2 linked regions of the Ovis aries genome follow. The protein of the gene in region 2 interacts with the protein of the main gene of each other region in a pairwise test. Links are inferred from orthologs where the notes say so. Each region holds a gene or a part of one and is shown on either strand. Other genes may lie near its edges. The genes, in order: NUMA1 and BRAP.

Region 1 (3,803 bases), on a different chromosome or scaffold from region 2:
CCCTTAACTAAAAGCTGTGAAGCCTGGAGTTGCAAAAAAGCAACTATTAAACCAAAGAAGGTGACACCACGGAAAGCATTGAGAACATTCAGCTGCACTGTAGTGCTAAATGTCACTAACACTCATTCCCTGAGATTAAACAGCACAACCCAACTGAAGCCTCTGCGGTGCTGTAGATGTTCTGATCTGTCCTGTCCAGTATGGTAGCCACTAGCCACACATGGCTACTGAGCTATGGAAACGTGGCTAGCATGACTGAGAAACTGAATTTTTTATTTAAATAACCACACATGGCTAGTGGCTACTGCAGCAGACAGTGAAGGTCTGCAGGTTGCGAGCCACTCTGGTCTCTCAGGAGCTCGCAGATGCACAGGCAGGGCTCCTGAGGCTGCCAGGTCCCAAGGTGGCCCAGCCAGGGCTCAGCGCTTCCCTCCCTGCTCCCTTGAGCCGATGAGGGCAGGCCTATCCCCTGCTGTCCCACCTTCAGCTTCTGCTGCTGCGCCTTGCTGGCTTGCTCATGGTCAGCTAGCTTCTTGCTCAGTTCTTCCACCTGGGGCAGGGAAGCAAGAGGAGAGAGACTCAGGGGGCCTTCTGCTGAAGGTCCAGACAAATTATGGGGTTTCCCCAGGCCAGTCCCCAGTGTCCCCATAAGAAACTCAGGGCCGCCGTGGCTGGTGGGCAGGACCTGAGTGACGTGACCCAACGCAAGTGCTGTCAGAGCCACCTGCTCACGCTTGCCTCCAGCCCCTGCTTCAGAGACAGACGCAGCGGGGCCACTCAGGAGCTGACACCCCACCACGACTTACCGCCACCATTCCCAGCCCCAACCGTCCCACGGCGGGACAGGAACAGGGGACCCCATCTATAACGCCAGCAGACACACTCAATGACTACCCCACCCCCTCGCCCCACAAGAAACTGGCAGAGCAAAATCCCAACTGCTCGGACCTCTCCTCGACATGCACAGGCCATTAGGGCTGGCGCTAGTGGTGTGGTGGCTGTGATTAGCACTGGGGTCAGGCAGCTGGAAGACGAGAGCAGGGTAGCACACGTATTCCACGCCCACCCCACCCCCACAGAGAGGAAGGGCTCAGGGAGGAAGGGGATGAGAGGGCGCATGGCAGCCACAGACGCTCCTGGCTCCCCCGGGCTTTCTGGGAGCTCAAGCATGATCAGTGAAGGCAAAAGGCGGGAGCTCCATTGCTAACTGTTTGCTCTTCTGTCTGACCTTCCCCATCATCTCAGGCTCCCTGGAGGAGGGGATGAGAGGAGAGGAGGGCCCAGCTCCTCAGCAGGCCCCAGATGATGGGGTAGGAAAGGGGGTAGAGGAAGGGGGCGCCCACTAAATGCCAGTTTGATAGCTTTGATGTCTAGGGAAGCACCCTGGTAAGGGCGAGGCAGTCAGACCTCACCTCCTCTCAACCTTGACCTTCCTGCTCCCAGACATCTCTATCTTATGCTGGAGGTTAAAAACCCCAGAGGGTGATGGGCAAGCGTCCTGAGCTCAAGGCCCTGGTAATCTGTGGGGGCCGCCTGGCACATCACCTTTCTGGCTTCTGCAGGAAAGAAGGGAGCTGTGCCACACCAGGCCTGTGGCCAAACTGTAAGTCCCGACAGCTGAGTACCCAAACTGGGAGCAGGACTTGGAGGTCTGGGAGTCCCAAGGGCAGGCTGTCTCTGGACCTGGTACAGGAAAGACGAAGCCTGCCCTACCCCTCATCCCTGAGAGACGATGAGAGTACAGACGGGTGGAGAGGCCGACCTGGGATGGGTGGGGCGGGGCCTGAGAGGGCCCAGCACACCGCACTCCGGGACGGCCTGGGTTCCACGGCGTGACCCTGCCCCTTCACAAACAGTTCACAACAGGAGCCCACGGAGGCAAGCTGCAGCCGGGGTCATGCACCGAGACCAGTCACCGCTTAAGCAGCCAGCATTTATCGAGGACCTCAGGTATTACCTGCTTAGTCTGCTCTCTCTGAAATAACTCTAGCTGCTCCACCTGCGCATGGGGGAGCAACGGAGACAGCATGAGATGGGGGCCCAAAAGGCACCCGCCCTGCTCCCAGGCTGACCGCACCGAGGCTCTGATCTGCCCCCAGGGAACTAGATGTCTAGCAGCCTCTTTAAATGCCATCTTGGCTCATTGGAGGCCCTGGTGGCTCTTGGGGCCTCCACTGTAAGTGTGCCTCCTCATGACAGAGTGCCTCAAGGGGCTGGCTGATGGCTCTCACAGCCTGCCTCACCAGAGACAGAGCCTTCGGGGAAGGGGAGTTTCTGTAGGCCAGCAGGGGCCACAGACACCCTGTACTAGCAGCCACCTCTCCTCCTGCCACCCAGACACTCTGGCATCACATGGGGATCAGAGGCCGGGGAATGTAGAGGGACGATGTCTCCGCCTCTCAGGTCTGCTCTCCAGGGGTGTGGCTGAGCCAGGGCCTCACCTGGGCAGTGAGTTTCTGCCTCTCCTCCTGGAAACGCTGCCTCTCCTCCAGGACCTTGGCCTTGGCACCCTCGTACTTGGCGGTCATCACCTCCAGCTCCCGGGCAGTGCTCTGAGCTTCCCGCTGCATCTCAGTCAGACGGGTCTCAGCATCAGCACGCACAGCTGCCAGCTCCTGGCTGTACTTCTCGCGGGCCTGGTCCAGCTCCACTTCCAGAAACTGCCGGCCGAGGCTGGCCCGCTCGCCCAGCCCGCGGTTCTCCTCTGCCAGCAGGCCGTGCGCCTTCTTCAGCATGCTCAGCTGCTCCACGTAGCTGGCCTTCTCCGCTCGCAGCTGCTGAGCCACACGCTCCTGCTCTGCCACCTTCTGCCGCAGAGGCAGCAGCTCCCCAAGCTCGCGCTGGGCCCGCAGCAACTCTGCCCGCAACCCGCCAGCCGCCTGCTTGCTCTGCTCCAGCTCCTCCCTGTGGCGCTTCTCAGCAGCAGCCTGCTCAGCCTGCAGCTGCTGGCATAGGTGCTTGACAGGCAGCAGCTCGCTCACCAGGGCCTGTGTGCTGGTGTGCTCCAGCTGCAGGGCCGAGAGGGCCTGCTCCTTCTGGAAGAACTTTTCCTGCCAGGCCTTTAACTCTTGGCCCAGCTCCTCTGCTCGCTCCGCCTGTGAGGCCAGCTCCTGCCGCAGGCTCTCAGAAGCCACCCGCTGCTTCTCAGCCTCCTCCCGGAGGGTCTGGACCTCCTCTCGCAGCGCGGAGCTGCGTTCCGCGGCCCTAGCGCTGCTGCTGGCGGTCTCCGCCTGGAGCAGGCGCAGCCGCTCTTCCAGCTTCTGACTCTTCTCTGACTCGGCAACCACAAGCCGCTTCAGCTCCTTGCTCTCGCCCTCCTTCTCCAGCACCTGGCGGTTCAGGATGGACACCTCCTCCTCCAAGCTGCTGATGAGGCTGTTTTTTCTCTCGGCCTCCTGCTGACCCCGGGCCACCTGGGCCTTCCACTCGTCCTCAGCCTTGCCGTGCTCCTGGGCCTTGGCGCGGAGCGTGGCCAACTCCCTCTGGGTTGAGGCTAAGGCGTCCTGACTGCTCCCCAGCTCCTGGGCCTTCTGCTCTAACTGGCCCCGCAGAGTCTTCAGAGTACTGGCCTGCTCCGCGTGGGTGGTACGCTCAGACTCAAGGCTGTGCTCCAGGCTGGAGGCCTTCTCCTGGTACTCACGGGCCTGCTGTTCCAGCCGGCTCACCTCTGCCTGCAGAGCCTGCAGTTCAGAGCCTTCTGGCTCAGTCTTTCCAGTAGCCTTGGACTGGGTTCGCAATCCAGAAGCGTCTTCTCGGCTGGCTGTCCCAAGAGACTGCGGGCGCCCCTCCTCTTTCTTGGCCAG
Region 2 (4,548 bases):
CACTCCTGAAAGTGTAAGTTGCGCAGTTGTGTCTGACTCTTTGCAACCCTATGGACTATACAGTCCATAGAATTCTCCAGGCCAGAATACTGGAGTGGGTAGCCTCTCCCTTCTCCAGGGGATCTTCCCAACCCGGGAATCGAACCAGGGTCTCCTGCATTGCAGGCAGATTCTTTACCAACTCAGCCACAAGGGAAACCCAAGAATCCTGGAGTAGGTAGCTTATCCCTTCTCCAGTGGATCTTCCCAATGTGGGAATCAAACCAGGGTCTCCTGCATTGAAGACGGATTCTTTACCAACTGAGCTATGCACTCCTAAGTGGGACAAATATTCAGGGCTATTTGAAAGTTTGAAAACCAACCTACCAGTTCTCCACACTGGAGATGCAATACACATCCACCCCCCTGGATGGAGCGAGCTGGCAGAGCAGGGGGAGTCACAACGTGCTTATCTGGATTCAACATGAACTGCCACAGACTTACGTGCTAAGTAGCTCTCCTCACTGAGGACAGTTGTCAACCTAGCTTGTTATGAGTAATTTAGAAGAAATATTTAGAGAAACTGAAATCCACCCTGACAGCTTCATGTAAGGAACATAGGCAGTAAAAGCTAAAGTATGCTAGAGATCTTTATCACAGGCTCACTGAACACCACTCCAACATAAGCAACCATGGATTTACCTTACAGAAGATAGCCTAGCATTTTGGAAAGCATACCTGGGTTGGCCTTCATGGTCTCAATGATCACATCTGTCATTTCTCGACGACCAAGATGCTGATGTATGATTGCTGCTTTCTCCCCTGGTGACTTCCCTTCTAAACAGGCTACAGCTGAAGCTAGTGTCTTCTTTTGGATCTCCTCATCAGACATTTCCCCAACTAAAGAATACATGAATAATTAATATCTGATAATAAAACAAGCCTCTTTCCACTCTCAATGTATCCATCCACAGGTTTCCTTTTTCTCTCTGCTGCCTTCCCTCAAGACTATAAGATACCTTTTGCAGGGTCCTTCTCACTCATCTCTGGGGCTCCTGCAGTACAGTCAGTTAATGCCCAGGGCAATAAACTCAGAAATGCAGGATGGTCCTAAACGAAATCATGCATTTTAAAGCAAATGAAGGAGATAAGAGCTTTGATAGTGATCCTGCTCAGATGAACCAACACTTTAGTAACACTTGTAACAATGAAATTGTGTTGGGCCCCAAATGAGGGCATCAAGTCCACTAATCAACAAAACTTTGAGGTCAGTCTTCTTAAACAACCTGGGTTAGCCTAATGCCACCTTGTCCTGAAAAACTGTGATCATTTTCTTAAATCACTAAAACACACAAAAATGAAAAATGAATTCGGAGACTTGACAGAAATATCCTTAATATAAGCTTTATGTGAAGAGAGATCAAGCCTCTTTTGCCCATCACTGTATCCTCAGTACTTACATCACAGTGCCTAGCACACACTGGAAGCTCTTTAAAGATTTGCTGAATAAATTAATGACTCAATGACTGAACCATGTAAAAATGTATATGTTGCTTATGTCAACTAATTCAACTTTCAGAACTCAGTAGCCTATTTAATTATATTCAGTCTTTAGTTTGCAGCTCAAAAATTCACACACTCAGGGAAGTTTCCCACAAGACCATCCCTACCAGCCCCAGGCCTCTTCCCCAAACTAAACACATGCTCTCATGGTAGCTTTCCAAATTCCTTTCCAGCTTTCTACCTTCCCTTACTGTACATTTGTCACAGCTGTATTCTACTTTTATCCTGTAATTATTTAACTAATCTATCTCTATGAACTGAAGTAAATTGCTGGTGCCCTTAAAGCAGGGACCATTTATCTTTCCGCACAAAACTAAAGCCCAACAGAAAGTGAGCACTCATGAAGTATTCCTTGAATGAATGATGCGTTGCTGGCGGTTCAAGGGACAGAGCCATACCTGCATTTCCCAGGAGGAGGCTGTGTGACGGAATGAAGAGCTCAGACTCTCAAGTCCAGCTCTTTGAGGTAGAATTCCAGTTTTGCCACGGAGAGATAATCCTGGGTAAGGCACTTAATCCCAGGGCTTCAGTTCCAGTTTGTAAAAGCCTCATACACCCATAAAACTAATTGGGTTGTATGAAGATATAGGAGTGTGCACACGAGGTGTTTAGTACAGTGCTCGGATATAGAAGTGTACACATTTTCAGTTACAATTGTAACACTGCTACAGGGCGCCCAAATGTATGGTTTTTCAAAAAGGAAGAATTTAATTAAACCAGAAGCCGTCAGCGTGCTGGGGATTCCCTGTCTGCCTTCACAAAGCCTGCTGCTGCTGCTGCTGCTGCTAAGTCGCTTCAGTTGTGTCCGACTCTGTGCGACCCCAGAGACGGCAGCCTAGAGAAAATCAATTCGCACAACTAGGCTCTCACCCAGGTTGGTGAGAGAGCGACGCGCCAAATATAAACAAAGTCCCGGTGGGAAGGCACCAGGAAGGAGGGACCGGGAAAGACTTCCCACAGGTGACACCTGGGAAGAGACCTCCCAAGGATAGTGGGGGCATGAGGGATCCCAACCACTTCTCGGCTTCCTCCTGAAGCGGAGGCCCTTGCCCGGACCCAGACTCTGAGGGGACGCGCCCCGGGGCCCAGGCGCGGGCCACGGGAGAGGCGGCGAGGCCGCGGACTCACCGGCAGCGCTGAAGCCGAAGCCGGCGGGGACCGGCGAGTGTTCTGCGAGCTCCAGGCGGATGACAACTAGTGACACACTCATAGGGCAGCCGCTGGCCGGCGAAGGCCCCGGCGGGCTCAGGCGAGGGTGGGAGGCGAGCCTACAGGTAGAGAGGCCCGGGGCGGGCAGCGCCGCCACCGCCTCAGCAGCAGCAGCACCTCCGCGAGCAACCCTTTGAGCCACAACAAGCTCCACTTCCGCCTCCCGGCCGCCGTCGTTGTCCCGTGAGGTTACGCATGCGCATGCCAGCGCGCTCTTTGATTGGGTGTGGCGGTAGCCACGTGACTGGTGTGTTTTCGCTGAGGTGAGCCTACACCCTGCGTACGGAATCTGGAAGAAATCGTGGAGGAGGCACGTCACGGGAATCTCGGGAGCTGGGCTTTCATTAGGCGGATCGGTGGGTTTGCGCCCAGACCTGAGTTAGCCTACCTGAGAGACCTCGTTCTCAGCCCAGCTCATCTGACGGCGAGGGGTCTCAGACTCCGCGAGGTCTCCCAATTGTCCGAGCCACCCGCACCCTTCAGAGAGCTCTAGCCTCTTTTTGTCCTGTTTGATCTCTCGCTCCAGCTGTAGGCAGGGTTGCTTTGTGTCAGCCACGCTTTACAAATCGGTGCCCTGAGGCATAGAGATGAATCGGCTTCTTTCTCTGAGGGCCAATAGGGAGTAGGGACTGTTGGGGTGGTGGGGATACATTGGTAAATAAGATGAACACCCAATTCCTGTTCTTATGGATTTGACCTTGTCCCTAGTTGTGTGACCTTGAGCGAGGTTTTTCATAAAATTGTGTGATATCCTTATACAGCTATGAGGATGAAGCAAGTAGAGGCTGTGACTCTGTTTACATTAATTTTTCTGAGAGTCCGCATTCTTTTCAATACCCCAGACTTGAGATTGAGGACAGGAGGAGAAGGGGGCGACAAAGGATGAGAGGGTTGGATGCATCACCGACCTAGCGGACATGAGTTTGAGCAAACTCGGAGATAGTGAAGGAAAGGGAAACCTGGTATCCTGCAGTCCATGGCGTCGCAAGGAGTCCTAAAGGACTTAGCCGCTGAACAAGACTTGCCTTTGGCACGTGAACATGGAGAGCCACAATCAATACATATATAGCATGTATGTGACAAGATGCTACATAGATATATGTTATGACATGTGAGTGTGTCAGAGCACACACTGTCCTAGACATACGTAGGTGTGTGGACTACAAATCCATATCATGACCACCTGACGTTTACACCTTATGACTGCACACTATGAGTTAGTTTCAGTGTACCCTTTATATCATGATTTCTCAACCTCTGCACTGTTAACATGATTGGATTCACTAAGCCTTTGGGTTGTGTGTATATTCTGCACTTAATGGAATAGTTAGCACCATCCCTGGCCTTACCTACTAGGTACCAGTAGCACCTCCAACTGGTGACCACCAAAATGTCTCCAGACATTCCCAGATGTCCCCTTGGGGCCAAAATTCCCCACAGTGGCAGTTGCTGACTTTTGTGGAACTGTATCTGCCATATGCATCCCACTATATATATATAATATATGATATCTCATGTGAACTTTATAGTATATTACAGTAGCAGATAACATTTAATGTTGTGCCAGGTACTAACTTGAGTGCTTTATTAATACATACTTTGTCTCTGTGTAGTAATAAGAACAACTTCATGAGACAGGTACTATAATTTTTCCCATTTTATGGAGGAGGAGCCTGAGGCTCAGAGAGTCACTTGCTCAGGATCTCACACGTAAGTAAGCGGCAGAGCTAGACTTTGAATCCAGGAAATCTGATTCCAGAGCCAACACTCAATCTCTACTAAACCATCTCTCTAATA

The links.
Region 1: the proteins of BRAP (region 2) and NUMA1 interact in a two-hybrid assay, tested with the Homo sapiens proteins (2 studies listed by BioGRID and IntAct). The link is inferred for Ovis aries from reciprocal best matches to the Homo sapiens genes BRAP and NUMA1.

What each region holds. Positions count from the first base shown.
Region 1 is NC_056068.1:50,378,164-50,381,966, forward strand, and holds part of NUMA1 (nuclear mitotic apparatus protein 1), read right to left. Parts: coding exon 2,442-3,803; intron 2,000-2,441; coding exon 1,958-1,999; intron 551-1,957; coding exon 482-550; intron 1-481. UniProt on the Homo sapiens protein: Microtubule (MT)-binding protein that plays a role in the formation and maintenance of the spindle poles and the alignement and the segregation of chromosomes during mitotic cell division.
Region 2 is NC_056070.1:55,361,436-55,365,983, forward strand, and holds the start of BRAP (BRCA1-associated protein), read right to left. Parts: upstream 2,897-4,548; 5' UTR 2,753-2,896; coding exon 2,671-2,752; intron 880-2,670; coding exon 718-879; intron 1-717. UniProt on the Homo sapiens protein: Negatively regulates MAP kinase activation by limiting the formation of Raf/MEK complexes probably by inactivation of the KSR1 scaffold protein.